4 linked regions of the Mus musculus genome follow. The protein of the gene in region 2 interacts with the protein of the main gene of each other region in a pairwise test. Links are inferred from orthologs where the notes say so. Each region holds a gene or a part of one and is shown on either strand. Other genes may lie near its edges.

Region 1 (4,494 bases), on a different chromosome or scaffold from region 2:
CAGATGTATTGGAACTGAGTGAAAGGTAATGGACCACATTGTAAACATGGACTAGACTAAATGGTTAAGTTATGCAAGCAAATCAGGAGGTAGTCAGCTAAGGCCTAAGCTTTAATAAATAATAAGTACGTCATTATTCAGAAACTGGCAAGTCTGAGACAGTCACGTCATAAGCTAGTTAGTTCTTTCCTCCCTCTTCTCTTATAAGGGCTGAGGCTAGGAGAGGTATGTAGGATTTTCAGGGAAGAAAGGGAATTGACAAATATTGTAATTATGTTATAATACATATATGCACATGAACACCAGTAGACATGATACACTTGTAAAGATTACAGGAAACAGGAATGAACATATTTTGATAAAGCACTAGGATTTGGATCATATTTCATATCAATTTATATGGACTTTTAAGGCATTTGAAAATTAGAATTATATACATATGAACATATTTCACGAAGTTGTTTTCTTAGCACTGTTATCTATGCAAGAAATGTTGAGATAAATGAGTTTGATAGACTTTATAAACAGTATTATGCCATGTCTAGACCAGAAACAAGTTCAAAGATCATTTGTGATTCCCAAATCAGACTTTGAAAGGAAGTTTACTGTTTTTCTGTGTAACTCAGGTGGGTATTACAGACATGAGCCACCAAGCCTAGCTAGTTCTTATTAATTTACTTTTTAAAAGAACTATTATGCCGCATAACATAGAGTCATAGGAGTTTTAGTGTTGTTTATTCTTTAATATTTTGAGGCTTTTGGACATTTTAATAGTATTTGGAAGGTTTTGTGTGTTTTATTTTAAAAAGTTAAATGTAACTGAATTTACTTTCTACTGTCCATATTATTAGTTGGATTTATTATATTTGTAAGAGTCTGGTGATACCCGTGACTTTTATTACTATTCTATCAGATATTTAGATACACAGGAAACTAGTTTCAAATTCAAAGCTGCATGATTATGTCAAGTGCTATTTCCTTAGAGATCAGAATAATATGTCTGTCTTTTCTTGGTTTTTAATGGGTTAATTTTTCTAGTTTGAATGAATAGAATATATTAATATATATAATTGCAAGCAATGATTTATTTTGTAATTATTGGATTTATGAGCAAATGAAAATAACAGGTGTTAGTATTATTTACAAATATGAATACACAATATATAAATTATAAACTTGTCAAATGGGCTACTAATGGGAGGGTTTGTTTGTTTTTTCCCCCTTTGTAATAAACAATAGCTCTTCTCCTAAGTTATCTGAATGCCTCCAGAAGAAAAAAGAGATAATTGAGCAGATGGAGATGAAATTGGATACTGGCATTGATAGGTAAGTTAACTGTTTTTTATCTCCTGCTTTTTTAAAACTTGTAGAATCACATTTGCATAGCAGCATGAACAGAGTTTTTAGAGTTGATTCTTTAATGTACTGTTCTCATCTATAAGAGAATTTTCCCCCCCTGGAAATCAGTATGTTTAAATATATTTCAAATCAAATTCATATTTTAAGCCCCACTCATTTGCATCAAACATGTACAGGCTACAAATTCCTTTAAAAACAGAGATGCCAAGCTGGGGATATAGACCAGGGGTAGAGTATTGCTAGCATGTGGGAAGCCCTGCACTTATCAGTGCTGCTGAACCAACAAAGACTTGTAGTATTTAGGACTATATTTCCACTTAGTGGCTTCAGCCTTATCTATGAAGTTTTGTAGTAATTGTACTGATTTTGTAAATGTAACTTATGTTAAATGAATTTTAAAACTTTGACTGAAGATAATTACTTTCCAGGTTTCTGTTTTGAGAATATGATGTTCTTACACTGATTGAAAAGTAGTAGAGCTCACAGATGTGAAGGATTCACTACATCCCACCATCTTATGTTGGCCTACTGTCATTTTGTAACTTGACCTCATTATTGTTGTGCTTAATTATGTGATCCGTCTCTTTAATTTAACATGAAACTTATCTTTTGACTACTCTGTCTTGCAGCCCCTTAACTCTAAATTAGTGTAGTCTTTTTATTTGCATAAGCTGAGTGATTGCTCACTATTGAGGAATCACATAGGTTAGATATTATTGGTACTTTTTAACCAGTGCCTTTATTGTCAGCTAGAATCTCAGTACTGTCTTCCTGATTGCCTGTTGACTGTGGGATTGAATGTGCCAGCTTCCACAGCCGTTCTCTTTGAGCCGTTTATCCTTCCACTTTCCTAAGTATTCCCTATGCACGGGTTTGCCTGAGAAGATCCTTAGATGTGAAGGAAATGATTAGTGCTAGGTTATAAGATCTTTTCTAAGGAGAAAGATGATAAAACCAGAATATCAAGTTGATATCAAGTCACAGAATGACCTTTTCCCCCCAAAATCTAGTTTGTCAATTCCAAAGTGGTTTTGTGATGATAGGCAATTAAATAATTTAACTTAATTCCGTATAATCCGTAGGTAAAATTGAGCGAGTTAAGTGAGTCATATATGTTGTGTTCTCAATCTTTAGGACATTAAATTGTATGATTGGACAGATGAAGCATATCTTGGCTGCAGAACAAAAGAAAACAGATTTTAAGCCAGAAGATGAGAACAATGTTTTGATTCAGTATACTAATGTGAGTGGAACTAATATATTATCTTCTTTCTTCATTCTTGTACACGCATTAGTGCACCTGTTGTGCTGTTTTTAAAAACAAAATACCTAATGTTCAGTTTTACCAAATGAAGACCCTGCTAGCTCAGAGAAGCACAGGAAGCACCCAGCTGCCCTCCATCCTCAGCTGCAAAAGCCCTCATTCTCCACTGTCTAAACACCGTTCCTGCTTCCTTGTGTTCACTCCCTATCAAGTGGTTGGTGCTCCACCTCTCGACCTATTGTTGACTTTATTTATTTAGCTCTTATTTACAAAGAATTCTTAGAGTTAAGGTGATTGCTGGGAATGAGCTACACCACAACTACTTGTTTAATAGTAAACAGAAAGCCCTTGGGTTAAAGGTGTGTGCTAGGGCTGAGCCACACCACGATATGAAACAGATTTTTCCAGTTCACGGTCTTAGGGTTCACAGTGTGATCAAATATCCTTCAACATAGTTGTGCTTTAAGTGTTGTTTTTCTTATACTTAGAAGTTGGAAAACTGTATTTACATATCTGTGTAATAACTGTAGAAAAACTTTTACAGGCATGTGTAAAAGTTTGTGTTTATGTAAGAAAACAAGTTGAGAAGATTAAAAATTCCATGGATGGGAAGAATGTGGACACAGTTCTGATGGAACTTGGAGTACGTTTTCATCGGCTTATTTATGAACATCTTCAACAATATTCCTATAGTTGTATGGGTGGCATGCTTGCAATTTGCGACGTGGCTGAGTATAGAAAATGTGCCAAAGACTTCAAGGTACATATAAACAAATTAGTTACGCTTGCAAGTAAGCTCAGAAACAGAAGCTGTACCATTAAAAGCCTGTACTGGAAATGTGTGATTTCGCTGGCAGCATTAAGAGACAGCTTTAATATAGTCTACCAGTTACATCTCAATATGAACATTTTTCCAGTTGGGACTTCATTTTAGATAAGGTCATATTTCAGCACATTCCATCGAGATAGTCCTTTTAACATCCATGATGGATGATGTTTATGTCACACATTAGGAAAATGATACTCCTTTTTCATGTATGTTTATCGAAAATCAGTTTTCCCTAATGATTAAATTATTATTATTTATTTATTTAGGTTTTTCAAGACAGGGTTTCTCTGTGTAGCTCTGGCTGTCCTGGAACTCATTCTGTAGACCAGGCTGGCCTTGAACTCAGAAATCTGCCTGCCTCTGCCTCCCGAGTGCTAGAATTAAAGGTGTGCGCCACCACGCCCAGCTTGTTTAAATTATTTTTAAAGGTGTTATACTAAAGATAATTAGTTCTAGTGTACCAAGTTACAAATTATTGAAAAACTGAGTAATATGAATCTTTTGTTTAAAGATTTATTTATTTTATGTATATGAGTACACTGTAGCTGTACAGATGTTTCTGAGCCATCATGTGGTTGCTGGGAATTGAACTCGCTTCAGCCCCGCTTTCTCCGGCCCAAAGATTTATTTACTTATTATGTGTAAGTACACGGTAGCTGTCTTCAGACACCAGAAGAGGGTGTCAGATCTCATTACGGATGGTTGTGAGCCACCATGTGGTTGCTGGGAATTGAACTCAGGACCTTCAGAAGAGCAGTCATTGCTCTTAATCACTGAGCCATCTCTCTCTAGCCCAATATGAATCTTTTTAATGGTTAAAACTTTTAGCTATGGAAACCTTTGAGTTTTAGCTCTTCAGAAGCTTTAAGAAATTCTAACATAGGAGGCAACTTCCCCATGTTATTAAGTTCTGACTAGCAAGATGTGAGAAGACTTTGCAGAGCGCATAGGAAAATAAACTGCTGTGGTTCAGTGCTTCCTTCCCTCTCTCCATTCAGATTCCAATGGTATTACATCTTTTTGATACTCTGCATGCACTTTG
Region 2 (4,494 bases):
GCCCTCCAAGGACTAGCTTACAAATCTCCTGATCAAAGCTGATGTTCTTTGTTTCTGTAGAAAGCTGAGCCATGTGGTGTAGGAGGTTTTGTGAGATGGTCAGCACAGAGCATGGGGCCTGTCTCAGAATGGGATGGCATCATCCTCATAGTCTCGCCAGTCATTTCAGAAAGGCTTCACTTTCGGGGGTTGGCATCACCTGAGAGTTGTCAGTGGCAGCTTCTGCCCTCCCTGCCATCCTTTATTAATGAGTGGTGTGTGCATTGGCCACAATGTCGAGTTCTGCCGGGTGGCTCCATTGCCCTCAGGCCTCAGATGAAGATACTGTGGATTTCATTATTCCAAACCAATTTATTGTAATGTGAGCATTAGTTCCAATGTCCATATACTTGCTTACTTAAGCAAACATTCCCTGATGTTCTGCATATGAGCTTGCACATACTCACATTCATGTAGTAGACAGGTGTGCACACCCATATACATAGACATGGGCCAACAGAGGATATCAGATACTCTGTTCTTTTACTCAAAGGATCTGGAGCTAGGCTGGTAGCCAGCAAGTCCTGAGATCTCAACTGATTACTGTCATTACAGGTGTACCACTACACCTGTCTTTTTATGTATGTACTGGGAACTGAACTCAGGTCTTCATACTGGTCGAGCAAAGCACTCTTACCAACTGAGCCATCTCCCTAGGCCCCACCCTCATATCTCTAATTGTCAGTAGCATCCCCTCTCCCGATACAGAGGCTTTCAGGACTTGGTTATTTGATCCCCATCACCGTCCTTCTCACTGCCTGCTTCCCCACTCTGGCCTTTCTTCTGTTACTACACCAGGACTGCAATACCTCTAGCCAAGAATCTTTGCTCCAGGTAACTGGAGGCCACGCCCTGTTTAGCTGGTCCAAGTGGCTGTGATCCCAGCTACTTAGGAACCTGAGACAAGATCTGCATGTTCAGGTCTTGCCTTGGGGCCTTAACTCAAAAGGTTAGGAAAGCAACAACAACAACAAAATAGGGCCGGGGATTTAGTTCAACAGGAGAATGCTTGCCCACCGCGCATAGGGCCCTGAGTTCAGTCTTTTGTACTATGAAATAAAAGTACTTGAAAGACAATTTACTCTCCTGAGGGCTTGCCTTGTGGCTACCCACATCTTGAGCTTATGCATCTTCACTTCATACCCCTCTCCACTTGTAAAAGCAGTGATTTGGGGCGGATTCCTATAACCTGGAACAGTTGTCTCGTAGTGAGGCTATGTGCAGAATAGGCAAGGACGACTTGAAGAGGGCCTGTCACTCTACAATGGAGTGCGTACTTGGCATTCATGAGGCCTGGGTTTTGTCCCCAGCACCCCAAAGAGAGGCTCAGGGTGCCATGCAGAACATGCATGGGAGAGGAAAGAAAGCTGGTGAGCCAGTCCCTTGGTGGGGATGGTTGAGGGACCAGTAGACCCTTGCTCAGCCTGACTGGCCTCCTCTCCCTGGCTGCCCCAGGCATTCTCATCACCACCATCGCTTCCAAGGGTGAGCTGCAGATGTGGCCAGAGCTGCTGCCTCAGCTGTGCAACCTGCTCAACTCAGAGGATTATAATACCTGTGAGGTAGGTGATGGGCAGTACCTGGCCTGACCCAAGCAGGGACTACAGCTTAGAGTCGGCTCACAGCCATCCATCTCTCTGCTTAGGGAGCCTTTGGAGCCCTACAGAAGATCTGTGAAGACTCCTCGGAGCTTTTGGATAGTGATGCTCTCAACAGGCCCCTCAACATCATGATCCCTAAATTCCTGCAGTTTTTCAAGCACTGCAGCCCTAAGATCCGGTACGTGATGTTCCTCAGAGCAGAATGGTCTTAGAGTTGGTAGGCAGACGCAGGAGTTCATATGTGAGCCTTGCCTTCACTGCCTACTAGGTCCCACGCCATCGCCTGTGTGAACCAGTTCATCATGGACCGGGCCCAAGCGCTGATGGACAACATTGACACTTTCATTGAGGTGGGTCACCAGGCTCCAGGTGGATAGGGTGAGGCTAAGGGGTCCTCAGGCAGCTGACCTTTCCCTTTTACACAGCACCTGTTTGCCTTGGCTGTGGATGATGACCCTGAGGTGAGAAAGAACGTGTGCCGGGCCCTTGTGATGCTTTTGGAAGTGCGAATTGACAGGCTCATCCCTCACATGCACAGCATCATCCAGGTGCGAATGCTCAATACCAAGGGCTAGTGGGTGGCTTGGGATGGGGAATCCCCCGCAGTTGAGCTAGGTCTCAGCCTCTCTCTGTTGCCCAGTACATGCTGCAGAGGACCCAGGACCATGATGAGAACGTGGCCCTGGAGGCCTGTGAGTTCTGGCTGACGCTAGCCGAGCAGCCCATCTGCAAGGAAGTCCTGGCCTCTCATCTGGTCCAGTGAGTACTCATACCCCATGCCCTCAGCCTCTAGTCCTCCCTGGACCTGTCCCTTCTCCTGGATGCTTTGCTTACTGTATCTTATGTGGTTTAAGTCAGTTTTCTTTGAATCCTGTGTACACTGATTTTTATGGGGTGTAACCTTAATGACTTTAAAAATTAGGTAACAGAAACCAAGTGTGGTGGCTCATGCATGTCACTTAGGAGGCTAAGCTTGGATTATAGCCACAAATGCTGTGTAACGAGTTCCAGGCCAGCCTGGGTTACATAATGAGACCCTGTCTCTAAGAACAGCTAGAAGACAAAAAGAGAAGAAACAACCCTTAAGCAGATGAAGGCTTCATCATGGCTGCTCGAGATGCTTAAGAGAATGGCATCTACGTTAATTCCAGGCACGGCCCTCCTGGATAAGCGATGCTGTAGCTCTGGCTTGCTTTTTTCTTTCTGATTTTGAGTCAGGGTTTCTCCATGTAGTATAGCCATGGCTGTCCTGGAACTCGCTCGGTAAACTAGGCTGGCTTAGAATTTAAAGGGATCCTGCCTCTGCCTCCGGAGTGCTGGGGTTAAAGGCTGTGCCTACGACTGTAGGCTCTGGTGTTCTTCAGTTTAGGAGTTCAGAGTCTCTTGGGTGGTACTTTAACAAGAGCTTACTTTTTGGGTTTTTGAGACAAGTGGGCCTAGAACTTAAGTGCTAGGGTTAGAGGCATGTGGCACCATGACTGGTTTGAGCCCCCTTGTGTTGACCATTTTGGATCACTTGGCTATCTCAGATTATTGATAGCAAGTAGGAGTTGTGGCTAGAGGGACAGAGGACTTTGAGGAGGATTGAGACTCTTGCAAACAGGGACAGGAAGGTTGTATCAGTTTTCTTTTTCTTTTTCTTTTTTTTTTTTCTTTTAAGATTTATTTATTATTCATTAGTACACTGTAGCTGTCTTCAGATGCATCAGAAGAGGGCATCAGGTCTCATTATGGGTGGTTGTGAGCCACCATGTGGTTGCTGGGATTTGAACTCAGGTTAAGTCAGTGCTCTTAACCGCTGAGCCATCTCGCCAGCTGTATCAGTTTTTGTGTTTAAAGCTGTGTGCAACCATGCTCTCTACTGTTTCTGCCAGCAGCCTGCCCGGCAGCTTTGTTTGCAGGGTCTGAACAATGGGTCAGATGTTTGTGTTTTGTGTAGTGCTAGGGAACAGCATTGCTGAAGGTCTTCAGGGTTCTGGCATTCATGTGTGCATTCATGTTTGGGTCAAGAGGCTGTGTGGTGCTACTTGTCGCTGAGTGATAGATGGGGCAGCTGGATGTGGCAGTAAACACTTGTAATCACAGTATTGGAGGTTGAGGCAAAAAGATCATGTTCTTTTTATTTTTTAAACATTTTTGTTATTATTTACTATTACTTTTAAATCAGTATTTTGCTTGCATGTATGTATGCCTGTACCACATGTGTGCAATGCCCACAGAGGCCAAAGGAAGGTATTGTGTTCCTTGGGGCTGGAGTTAGAGCAAGTCATGATCGTGACTGCTGAGCTATCTCTCCAGCCTCAAGAAGGTGTATGATTTCTAGGCCAGTCATGGCTTCACAGACCGTTTCAAAAGAGGGAGAAAACTGTGTCTCCTACTCATGGCTGAAAATATGTTGCTCATTCCCTGAAGGGAAGTGAACAGAAACAGGACAGAGGAATATGGGTGTGTTGAGCATAGTCTGCCACTTGCTCCGTACTCCTATTCACACCTCTGCTTTCTTTTCAAGATGGGTACCTAGCCAGAGTCCCTGCATCCTTACAACCAGTCTCTTTCCCAATAGGTTGATCCCTATCCTCGTGAATGGGATGAAGTACTCTGAAATTGACATCATCCTTCTTAAGGTCAGCCAAGGGGCATCCACAGCTGACTGTGGGTGGCCAAGACCATTGGGTATTGGGTTGGAGGTCTCCAGCCAGTGCTGAGAGAAATATGCCTGGGCTGGTCCCTAGGGGGATGTGGAGGAGGACGAGGCGGTACCTGACAGTGAGCAGGACATCAAGCCCCGGTTCCACAAGTCACGCACAGTGACATTGACTCACGAGGCTGAGCGGCCTGATAGCTCTGAGGATGC
Region 3 (4,494 bases), on a different chromosome or scaffold from region 2:
TTTTCTGCACCAGTAGAGAGAGAGAGAGCATAAAAAGCAGCCTTTAGAAATAAATCATACATCAGGGAAATTAAATTACAGACAGGCACTTGACTTCTTAGATAGGAATGAATTATTCATAGTTTCAGGTATATTGTGCATAAGGAAACCTGAGAGCTTAGGCACAGGGCAACATGGCCGTGCAGGCGATCAGGGAAGACGCTTTATCTGTACTGAGAGAATTCTTATATCCACAGCTGTCTAAGCTGTTGACTAAGTCACATTTTGCTATTTCCCACTGTTGAATTAATATTTCATGAAGGACACTGTAATTTGGAGCAGATGAAATTCCAAAGTCATTATTTTGTGGGAAGGAGTAAAATTCCTTTTGTTTAAGATGTTCTGATTTTATTTTACAACCTATTTCCTATTATAAAATGCAGATTCCTTGACGGATACATACACATACATATATGTACATGTATACACATGCATACCATGTACACATACACTCAGCATATAAATATTTTAGTGATCCAACTTTGCTAAAGAAAAAAGGTGAATTAGAATACAGAATAAAACCCCGCCTCCAGCAACAGGACTCCTACATTTCAGGGGGAAGACATCAACCCACTTCAGCAAGCCCTGGGAGAAGGAGGCTTGCTTCCTCCAGCTTACTCCTCATCTGCTTGACCACAAGACACTCACTGAACTCAGTGAGCAACAGAAAATGAGTCCTTCTGTTTTAAACCCAGTGCCTCAAAGGAGTAGATAGTAGCATTGCTGGGCCTGTTAATCATGATATCTCTGCTCAAAAACAGCACATGGCCTGTTTTGAACTTAGTAAATATGGATTTTTGAACTTAATTAGAATTTAATGATTAATAATTTCTATTTAAGTGACTTTTAAATATTTCTTTGAACTTTTGAAATAAGTCTTCAACTACTTTTCTTACCTGTGATGTTCCAGAGAGGACCAAATTATCCCAGTTAACAACTGGGAATTTATTGTGCTTGTTGCTTCTGCTCCTTGGCTCCACCAGGCTATGCAGACATCCACCGATCATTTAGAAAGTATCCGGCTTCAGTCCCGCACTAAACTGACTATCAGCTGGGTCTGGACACAGCCCTGAGGCCTGCTAAAATAAGAACTCCCACAGCTGCGATCAGCCAGGAACTTACCCATGCTTCAAGCTGATTCCCCCTCCAGTGCCGGTGACCCAGCCCAGATGGTAAAACTGTTTGCAAAGTTCTGGGATCAGGAATCGGGGGTGCTCCTTGTCCTGAAAGAGAAGATGATGATTTGCAAATGACTCTTAAAGTTGTGCACTCCAGCTGGCACTTCCTTAATCGTTAGAAATGGATTTACTTAATTGGCAGTCTGGGATTGGTCAGTACAGGGGTCCCAACTCTATGGAACTGGCTGTAAAAACAAGGCAGGGAAATGCCAGGGGTCTATGACACAGCGTCAACAGAAAGGCAGTGGAACCCAGTACTAAAAACAAACAAACAAACAAACCCCACACTTTGGGCTACACAGCTAAGTGCTTCACAGAACACCCTGCTAGAACACCATACATGACACTTCACTATCAATACATGTTCAACACAGTCTGTGTTGGGGCAGTTTCAATTTTATCTTTAAAATGTTGTTTTCCAAAGTGATTTAAATATCTTCTTATTCAATTATAATAGTGACTATGACAAACCATTAAAGTCAAGCAAATAACAATCAATAAACAAATCCTACTCAGAAGCACTTATGATCCTTTTCTACGAAGGCATTTTACGGAACCGTGTGAATAAAGGCCAGAAGGAACATCAACCCTTACTTATGTTTAGCTGCAATAACTCCCAGTTTTCCCTGCTTTTCTCTTAACAGTTTAAACTATCTAAAGCAAGCAGAGAAGAACAACGAGCTCCATTTTGGCAGTACGATATGTAGCCTTAGCTGGAAAGCAGATAATAACTGCCTAGTCAGTCATGTTCACAAATATTTCAAAAGAGGTGGCAGAAGTGGAAAGTGAACTTCGCAGGACTCCTCAGGGAAATGTCTTGGGGGCAGGGCACTCCAAAGCTGACGTTCACTTCAAGCCACCTGCAAAAAGTTCTGGGCTCTCTGGGCTTCACTCTGATAGCTGGACCAGCATCAGAACTCTGAGATAAACTCCAGACTTGTACCACACAGAAAACCTCCAAATAAACTCAAGACTCGGTGGGCTGCAGTCTCAGCAAACAAGAAACCCTTGCTACGGAGAAAAGCACAGGAAATAACTGACTATGGACGGCGGCCCTGGGTAAAGGGGAAAACCATTCCCGAGTCCAGAGGAAAACCATTATTTCAACAGACTGGGCAGCTAAAATTGTGTTTCCCAATATTTATTTACTTGTCATTCTCTGGTTTATTCTCTCTCTCTCTCTCTCTCTCTCTCTCCCATCCTCTCTCTTCTTTCCTCTGTGTTTGAGTATGCATGTATGTATGTATGCATGCATGCATATAGATAAATACTTTTGGTGGTATGAATGATAATTTGATGAAGTAGCCTTCAAAATAAAAAATTCAGAGTATGAGAAAAAGTCAGGCTTTTGTAAAAATCAGCACAGGTTTAGGAGTTAGCAAAGAAGGTCAAACTACACAATATCTAATTCACCATTTACACGATGCTGAGTGTGCTGGCTAGTTTTACATCAACTTGACACAGGCTAGAGTCATCTTGGAAGAGGGAACCTCAAATGAGAAATTGACCCCACCTGTCGCCTGTGAATAATCACGCCTGTGGTGCATTTTCTTGATTGATGATTGATGTGGGCCCAGCTCACCTTGGGCGGTGCTGGCCCTGGGCTGGCGGTTCTGGGTTATATAAGCCACAAGGAGAAAAGCAGTAAGCAGCACTCCCCCATAGCCTCTGCTTCAGATCCTGCCTCCAGCTGGCTTCTTGCCTTGTACTCCCGCCCTGACTTCTCTGGATGATGGACTATAAGTTGTAGGCTGAAATTAACCCTTTCCTCCCCGTGGTGCTTTGCTCAGTGTTCTATCACAGCAACAGAAATCTTAACTAAGACACTGAGCCCCACTTTTACTCAACCATGAAATAAGCACACTTTGAGGAATAAAGTGAGATGAAATGAAGATAAAACACACAGCACAAAGCTAAAGAGATGGCTCGGCAGCTAAGAGCATGTCCTGTTCTCGGGAGAACCAGAGTTCAGTTCCCACCACTCACATCAAGTGATTCACTATCTATAGCTCCATCTCCAGGCTGAACTGAAGCCTCTGGTCTTCTTAGGCACCTGCATGTGCACATATCTATCTACCAACACACACACACACACACACACACACACACACACACACAAACACACACAGAGACACAGAGAGATACACACACAATATAACATAAAAGTTGGGGCTGGAGAGATGGTTCAGAGGTTAAGGTCCGTACTGTCTTGCAGAAGCTTGGAGTTCAGTTCCTAGCACCCATGTCAGTCAGCTCACAATCAATGTTACTCCAGCTCCAGAGGAGCCAACATCTCTGCCGGGGAGTCCTTGGGCATTTACACTCATGTGCATATATCACACAAAGTTGAGCACATATATACATATTTAAAAATAAAATTTAAAAGTCTCTACAGTAAAAGCACTCCACAGAAAACCATGTGACATAATATGAACTTCCTTACACTTTAAAGAGTTAAAGTTCTTGAACACAAATTAATTACTTAAAAGTTAATAATAAAATGGATTTCTTTACTCTTCTCAAGGAATCTAGCCAAAAAAATTCTATGCCCCATATAATTTGCTATTTCCTTTTTGGGGAACATAAATGATATTTTAATTACATATTAAATACAACTAATGGGGAGACTCCTGCAGTGTTCCAATCATTAAGACCAAATTTGCGCAACAAATTGCAAACATTACCGAAAATGGTCTATTATTATAGATCCCCCTCTCCTTTTGTCTTTCCCCAGTATTGAGGTATTAGAGCCATTAGCCAGCTCCCTGCTACAGCACACCAATGGCGGGCAGTGCTGCTATTGTCCTCCTCAGCCACTCAGATCAGGAAGATACCATTACAGGGAAGTAACGGAGCCCTGGCAGCCACACATCTGCTGACTTTCAGGTGCAGCCATTTAACCTGTGCGGCCCAAGAGTGTGAACGTGGAAATGTTACCTTTGGAACGGACAGAAAGGGAGAGCTTACTGTCTATTGCACCCCTGGATGCCAATGGTGCCTTTCAGCTGTTGTTAGAGTTGGCTCTCAGTGAGCGTAACACCTATATAGCATGAAGCTAAAGAATCACAATGAATAGAAGAGACGCTATGGTATGGCAGAAACAGACGCAGTGACATTCAGAATATATTAGACATGAAAGTGTGAATAGCTTTCATCCCACTTTGAAGACATTTCACTTTTGTGCCACAGAAATGCGTACTTATGCCTAACAGTAGCTCCATTTATTTCCATGTCTTCCTTTCTTTCACCTTAAAACACCAGCACACATCTGGACCTC
Region 4 (5,287 bases), on a different chromosome or scaffold from region 2:
GGGCTGCATTATGGGATTCTGTTCTTTTTGATTCCAGCTTCATTTCATCACACCATGAATTCCCTTGGAAATCCGTAGGCACCTTAGTCACTGTAACTCCGGCATTTCAGTATATGGACTTTTGTTTGATTCTAATCACCATCATCACCATCACCATCATCACCATCATCACCATCATCATCATGTGGGCACACTGCTCCCAGTTGTTTTTGTTTTTTGTTTATTTTTTTTTAAACTTATGTCAAGAGCTCTCAGGATGAAGTATCTTTGTGGCTATAAGCTAAAGGTGTAAAATATATTGCATGATCTGATGGAAAGTTTCATGCAGAAAACCCAGAAAAGGCCTAGCCTACACATATCAAAGCCAAGCTAACTTCCTAGATTACAGTAAAAATCTCTTCCTACTTCCCCAAACCACTGAAGTTAAATATACCTCGCTGTATTAAGTTCAGCTGTAACTACAACTGTAACATACATTCAACTGAACCATGACCCATTTTTTTTTTTTGTCTCAGAAGTGAAAGGGGAATTATGACAGTTATGAGACTTGCATTTTTTCCATTTCAAGATCCTTCTGAACAGATTTCAGCAAGGCCCCTCATGACATTTATTTGCTTTGCAACATATTTATCTATACCATTGCTTAGGAGACAGCATTTTAATAACTCGCTGATAACAATTATATTTTTCACCTACTTTTCAAAGGAAACAAAGCAAGAGGCTTTTGGCAAGGAAAAATGGTAATATGTAATATGATACCTAAGTCCAAAATTCAATTATAACTACATGCTATAACTACTTAGAAGACACCAACCATTCACACAACAAATACAACATTAACATATATAAATAAATGTGGTTTAAAATACCCACCCCTAGCAGAAAGCTTTTTGGTGTTGATAATTTTGGCAGCATACTCTTGTCCAGTAGGGATTTTCATACATCTTCTCACCACTGAGAACGCCCCCCTGGAAACCAATAATTAGCAAGTCGTCAGTATAATCAGATCTAGTATCCACTTGCAAACTCACAAATCTGAGCGGTTTCATGAACCTTTAGTGGTCTGTCAAATAGCAACATAATAAAAGCATTATCTAGAAAATAAACAATTCTTTCCTGCCAGCCCAGATCTTTTTTAATGTTGTGGAATGAAAGTCGTTTTTAATTGACTGGAAACACGCAGATTATTAATCAACAAAATAGAAGGTAATGCCAATTATGACCACTCTTTTTTGCACATGAAATTTGAAAACAATTTGTAATTCACACTCACAAAACACCAAATGCTCATAGCAAACCCTGCAAAGGACCGAGCTGGGGAACAGAAGAAAAAAAAAAAAAAACTGTTTATTTCGGTAGGAAACATAATTAACGTGGTTCCAACTAAGTAAATATGGCGATTGTTTTCATTAAAACATAAATCTCGAGCTCACTGGTGTGCTTTAACAGGTTCTGGGGTAAGGTGATTTCTCTCTGCCTGGTTTGGGCTTGGGGGGAGGGGAGAGATTTAAATTAAGCTGCTCTTCCGACATACTCCATGTTTCAACAGCAGATCATCTATAAAGATATCATTTTCATTTGATTTAAAAGTGCTCACACTTCCTTTTATGCAACTGTAAGGAAACCTACAGCACACACACACACACACACACAAATGCATCCCTTCCCTGATAGTGGAAATTAGCGATAGGTTTGGGGTTTGATGCTCGGTAAACCAACACTCCCTCCTGACTGAGTCTCTAGTTGCCCCTGTGCAGATCTTCAGTAGGTACCCTGTCCCTCCTTAACATCTCAAGGAAGTCCTGCCACTTCAGTGGAGGAGGTCGTTTTACACAAGCTAGGCTACCCTGGGGAAACGCTCTCTCGGGCTCTAGGGCTTTCCTCTGCCTGGATAAATAAATCCTCTCAGAGACGATGTACACCTAAATCCTAGAATGATGGTGAGCGACTCATCTTAGTGCAAAGAAGGATAGCGGATACATGGCAGGGACGTGGGTTCTGTTGGGTGGCCCTTTTCCTGAACGGAACAACTACTTGGATGCCGAACCAGACTCTCCACCAAGCCAAGTTGAACTTTCGGCATCGATAAATATGGCACCATCTCAGAGAGCGAGTGTTCTCTCGTTAGCTCATCCGAACCTGGGTCAGATCGCAGATACAGCGCGGGCTGAGCAAGAGACATCTATTTACCAAAAATGTGATAAATGTTGCATTTTACATGCATCTCCTTTCCTCTCCGAACACACATACACACACATTCGCACTCGCGTGCGCGCACACTTCTCAGGATGACAGCTACAACTGCAGAGATCATAAATTCACTAAGTCCCCCGTGGAGAGGTGGAGGACCCGAGAAGATGGGCTGGGAATTCGGAGCACCCGCCACAGTAGGGCAAAGGTTTCCTTCCCTGTGTGCCCCACCCGCACCAAGCCAGGGTCCGTCTCCCCGCCTCGGCCCGCAGGCTCTCTATCCCCACGAGGGAGACGAGGGGTCGTGGGGAGGAGGAGATGCCAGGCAGGGACGCTTACTTTCCGAGCTCCTCAAAGAGCTGATACTCGTCGGTGAACCGGGTGCAGGTGGTGGTCGAAGCCATGGCGGGGTCTGGACAGTGCGACGGGCGACACGCGAACAGACCTGGCTTCCCGGGACTGGCGCCGCCGCGCTGTCACCCGGGGCCGCCCTCACTTTCCGTGTCCGAAAGTAGCTCGCCGGCGAGGGAGTGCGCGCAGGGGCGGGGCGCGCGGGGCGAGGTGGCCAGACCAGCCCGCTCCGCGATCCCTTGTCCTCTCCTCCTCCCGCCGCGGTGGCCGGGCCGAGGGCTCCCGAAGGGGCGGGGGAGAGGTGTCAGGAGGGGTTGCCGCGGTCACCGAGGCCGCACGGAGAGCTCAACGCAGCGCCCGGAGTGGCGGGCGGCAGCGGCCGAGTGAACACCCAGCCGGTCGTTCCAGCGGGCAGAGGAGGCGCTGGTGGCCCGCGCTCCCTCCTCTCCACGGGGCCGCAAGGCTGGGAACCCGCGGGGCGACAGAGTGCGCTCGCTCGGCTCGGGCGAAGCTGGCAGCCGCGGCTCCTCCCCGGCGCCTCCTCCCTCCTCTCCCCGCCCAGCGAAGCCCCCTCCTCGGCGGCCCCACACCTCCCTCTAGCGACTCCAGCCGCGTCCCTTCGGGCTGCTCTCCCGCAGCCGTCTAGGGAGACCGAAGGGAGATGCGCGGAGCAGCAGGGAGCGCGCTTAAGGGGACGGGACTGAGATGTCGCAGTGACCCACGAAGGGCGGAAAGATGAGAGACCACTCGAAGCTCCCACAACCCGGATGCCTCTACCCGGGCGGGATGGCCGCGAGGCCGGGGAAGCCGAGAGAGGGAAGCAACCCTTGCATCTGGGCGCGGTTCGCGTTTACTGCTCCCAGACCCGGGTCCAACGTCCCCCGGCTCGCAGCTACTGCCTGGGGCTGCCAGCCTTGGCCACCTCTGCTGCGCCCGGCTGTCCCTTAGCTAGGGGCAAAGATGGTCAGGGCACCACGTTTCGCTTCAGTTTTTACTGTCACGTCTTCGCCCTTCTCTCCCCTTTTCCCGACTAGGGCGATCCCCATAAGCATTTGCTTGATCATAAACTCTAACATAATGAAACCCAAAAGTGCACCACTCTGCCACACCTTCCTTCCTCTCCAGAGTAACTCCCCTGTAACCTCAGCAAGTTCTGATAGTAAGAAGGCTTCTCGCGAGATGTCCCACGCCAGTGGCGAGGGGGTGGGGCGGTAGGAAGGTTGGCTGTGGGTCACGCGACCCAGAGGGGGCTGACGTCATTAGCGTCACGTGAGCGTGCCTAGCCTGTTTCGCGTTGCCGAGGGAGAAGGGAGAGGGAGGGTGGGAGTTCTTTACCTGCATTCTCAAAGAGCAGGCCAAGTAGGGGCACAGGAGTGTACTCCCTCAGTGGCTATCTGGAAAACCATTTAAGAGTTCAAGAACGTGTGTACAGTTAAGCATATCTGACACTGTTGCTTAAAAATTAGCATGGAGAAAAAAAATTAGCATGTAAGATGGGTTAAGGTGTAAGTGGTGGCTAAGATCATTTCTGAGCCTTCTTTTCACTTCTGAGTCTTTAATAAACGAGGCAATTGCAGATTTAGAGGCCTACGGAAAATAGAGACGCATCATGAACTTTTAAAAAATTTTCTTCAGACTGTTGCTTTTTGTTCTACAGCAGGAAACCATAAAATCCTGCATTTCTATTGCTTATGTGCTCGTGCTTAGAATCACATCGTGCACTTAAAATTTCACAGTGGGAAGATGATAGATAACTTTCAGTTAGGGAGCCTGTACATGCTTTTAGGGCGGCTATAAGTTACTACTTTGCAGGTTCTTTTATTCCCTGTTCTAAAGAATGCTGAGTGGCCTTTGAACTGAAGTACTCAGACGGCCATATAATTTTTAAATGCTTTTTTTTGTTATAGATTTTGCAAATATTACTCATACTTCTAATAGCCCTCTCCCACTCAACACAAGAAAATACTTTTTGAATTTAGTCATCATTCAATGTCTGCATTGTTTTGCCCATGAAAATGTCATTTACTGGCCTGTTTTACTATAATTTTCCCTTCAATTTTACTTACATCATTTGATATTCTGCCCACGCACTAGATTCCTAGTGCTGATTTTTGACGTTGCCAAGCACGTGGGATCAGCACACGTCCCGCTTTGTCTTGTATTGTTCCTACCTGGGGGCCTCTGCTGTTCAGTTGTCATTGTGGGACACCCTTGGAAGCTTATTGAAGTTCCTCTGTGGTTTTTATATAGCTTTGATTCCTTTTTGTTTTTAAAAGCAAATTTTGTTTTTTATGTCCTTAAATTTGAACATTTTTATTTGATTGGAATAGTCTCAGTGTGTCTCTCTTAAATGGCATGGAACTCACTATGCAAACCAGGCTGAGCCTCAAACTGAGAGATCCACCTGCCTCTGCCTCCCCAGCCTGTGACTAAAGGTGTGAAATACCATGCCTGGCTAAATTTGAACATTTTTAATAACAAAACTGAAATGAGCTTGGATCTTAAATCCTGGCAATAAAAGATAAGGATTACTTGGTATAAATGTAGTGACAAAGAAAGGAAGATGAAACTAAAAAGTTAAAAGGAGAAATAGTAGTGTTTAAGTATTAATAACCAAGCCAAAAATTGAAAGGAAGATATAATTTGGCCTTAACTAAACATTTTTAATATGTAGCTTAAATATATGGCTCTCGGTTATAATGGCATAACTTAATATTCTTTTCCAAATCCAAAAGTGAAAACAAAA

The links.
Region 1: the proteins of Tnpo2 (region 2) and Exoc5 interact in binary tests that used the Homo sapiens proteins (3 or more experiments, as listed by UniProt). The two-hybrid records come from large-scale screens. The link is inferred for Mus musculus from reciprocal best matches to the Homo sapiens genes TNPO2 and EXOC5.
Region 3: the proteins of Tnpo2 (region 2) and Apip interact in binary tests that used the Homo sapiens proteins (3 or more experiments, as listed by UniProt). The two-hybrid records come from large-scale screens. The link is inferred for Mus musculus from reciprocal best matches to the Homo sapiens genes TNPO2 and APIP.
Region 4: the proteins of Tnpo2 (region 2) and Camk2d interact in binary tests that used the Homo sapiens proteins (3 or more experiments, as listed by UniProt). The two-hybrid records come from large-scale screens. The link is inferred for Mus musculus from reciprocal best matches to the Homo sapiens genes TNPO2 and CAMK2D.

What each region holds. Positions count from the first base shown.
Region 1 is NC_000080.6:49,014,306-49,018,799, reverse strand, and holds part of Exoc5 (exocyst complex component 5), read left to right. Parts: intron 1-1,239; coding exon 1,240-1,326; intron 1,327-2,493; coding exon 2,494-2,602; intron 2,603-3,167; coding exon 3,168-3,383; intron 3,384-4,450; coding exon 4,451-4,494. UniProt on the Homo sapiens protein: Component of the exocyst complex involved in the docking of exocytic vesicles with fusion sites on the plasma membrane.
Region 2 is NC_000074.6:85,042,918-85,047,411, forward strand, and holds part of Tnpo2 (transportin-2), read left to right. Parts: intron 1-1,494; coding exon 1,495-1,601; intron 1,602-1,684; coding exon 1,685-1,818; intron 1,819-1,908; coding exon 1,909-1,990; intron 1,991-2,065; coding exon 2,066-2,188; intron 2,189-2,280; coding exon 2,281-2,399; intron 2,400-4,203; coding exon 4,204-4,264; intron 4,265-4,372; coding exon 4,373-4,494. UniProt on the Homo sapiens protein: Probably functions in nuclear protein import as nuclear transport receptor. Serves as receptor for nuclear localization signals (NLS) in cargo substrates.
Region 3 is NC_000068.7:103,079,723-103,084,216, reverse strand, and holds part of Apip (methylthioribulose-1-phosphate dehydratase), read right to left. Parts: intron 1,263-4,494; coding exon 1,162-1,262; intron 1-1,161. UniProt on the Homo sapiens protein: Catalyzes the dehydration of methylthioribulose-1-phosphate (MTRu-1-P) into 2,3-diketo-5-methylthiopentyl-1-phosphate (DK-MTP-1-P).
Region 4 is NC_000069.6:126,594,747-126,600,033, reverse strand, and holds the start of Camk2d (calcium/calmodulin-dependent protein kinase type II subunit delta), read right to left. Parts: upstream 3,084-5,287; 5' UTR 2,595-3,083; coding exon 2,530-2,594; intron 969-2,529; coding exon 874-968; intron 1-873. UniProt on the Homo sapiens protein: Calcium/calmodulin-dependent protein kinase involved in the regulation of Ca(2+) homeostatis and excitation-contraction coupling (ECC) in heart by targeting ion channels, transporters and accessory proteins involved in Ca(2+) influx into the myocyte, Ca(2+) release from the sarcoplasmic reticulum (SR), SR Ca(2+) uptake and Na(+) and K(+) channel transport.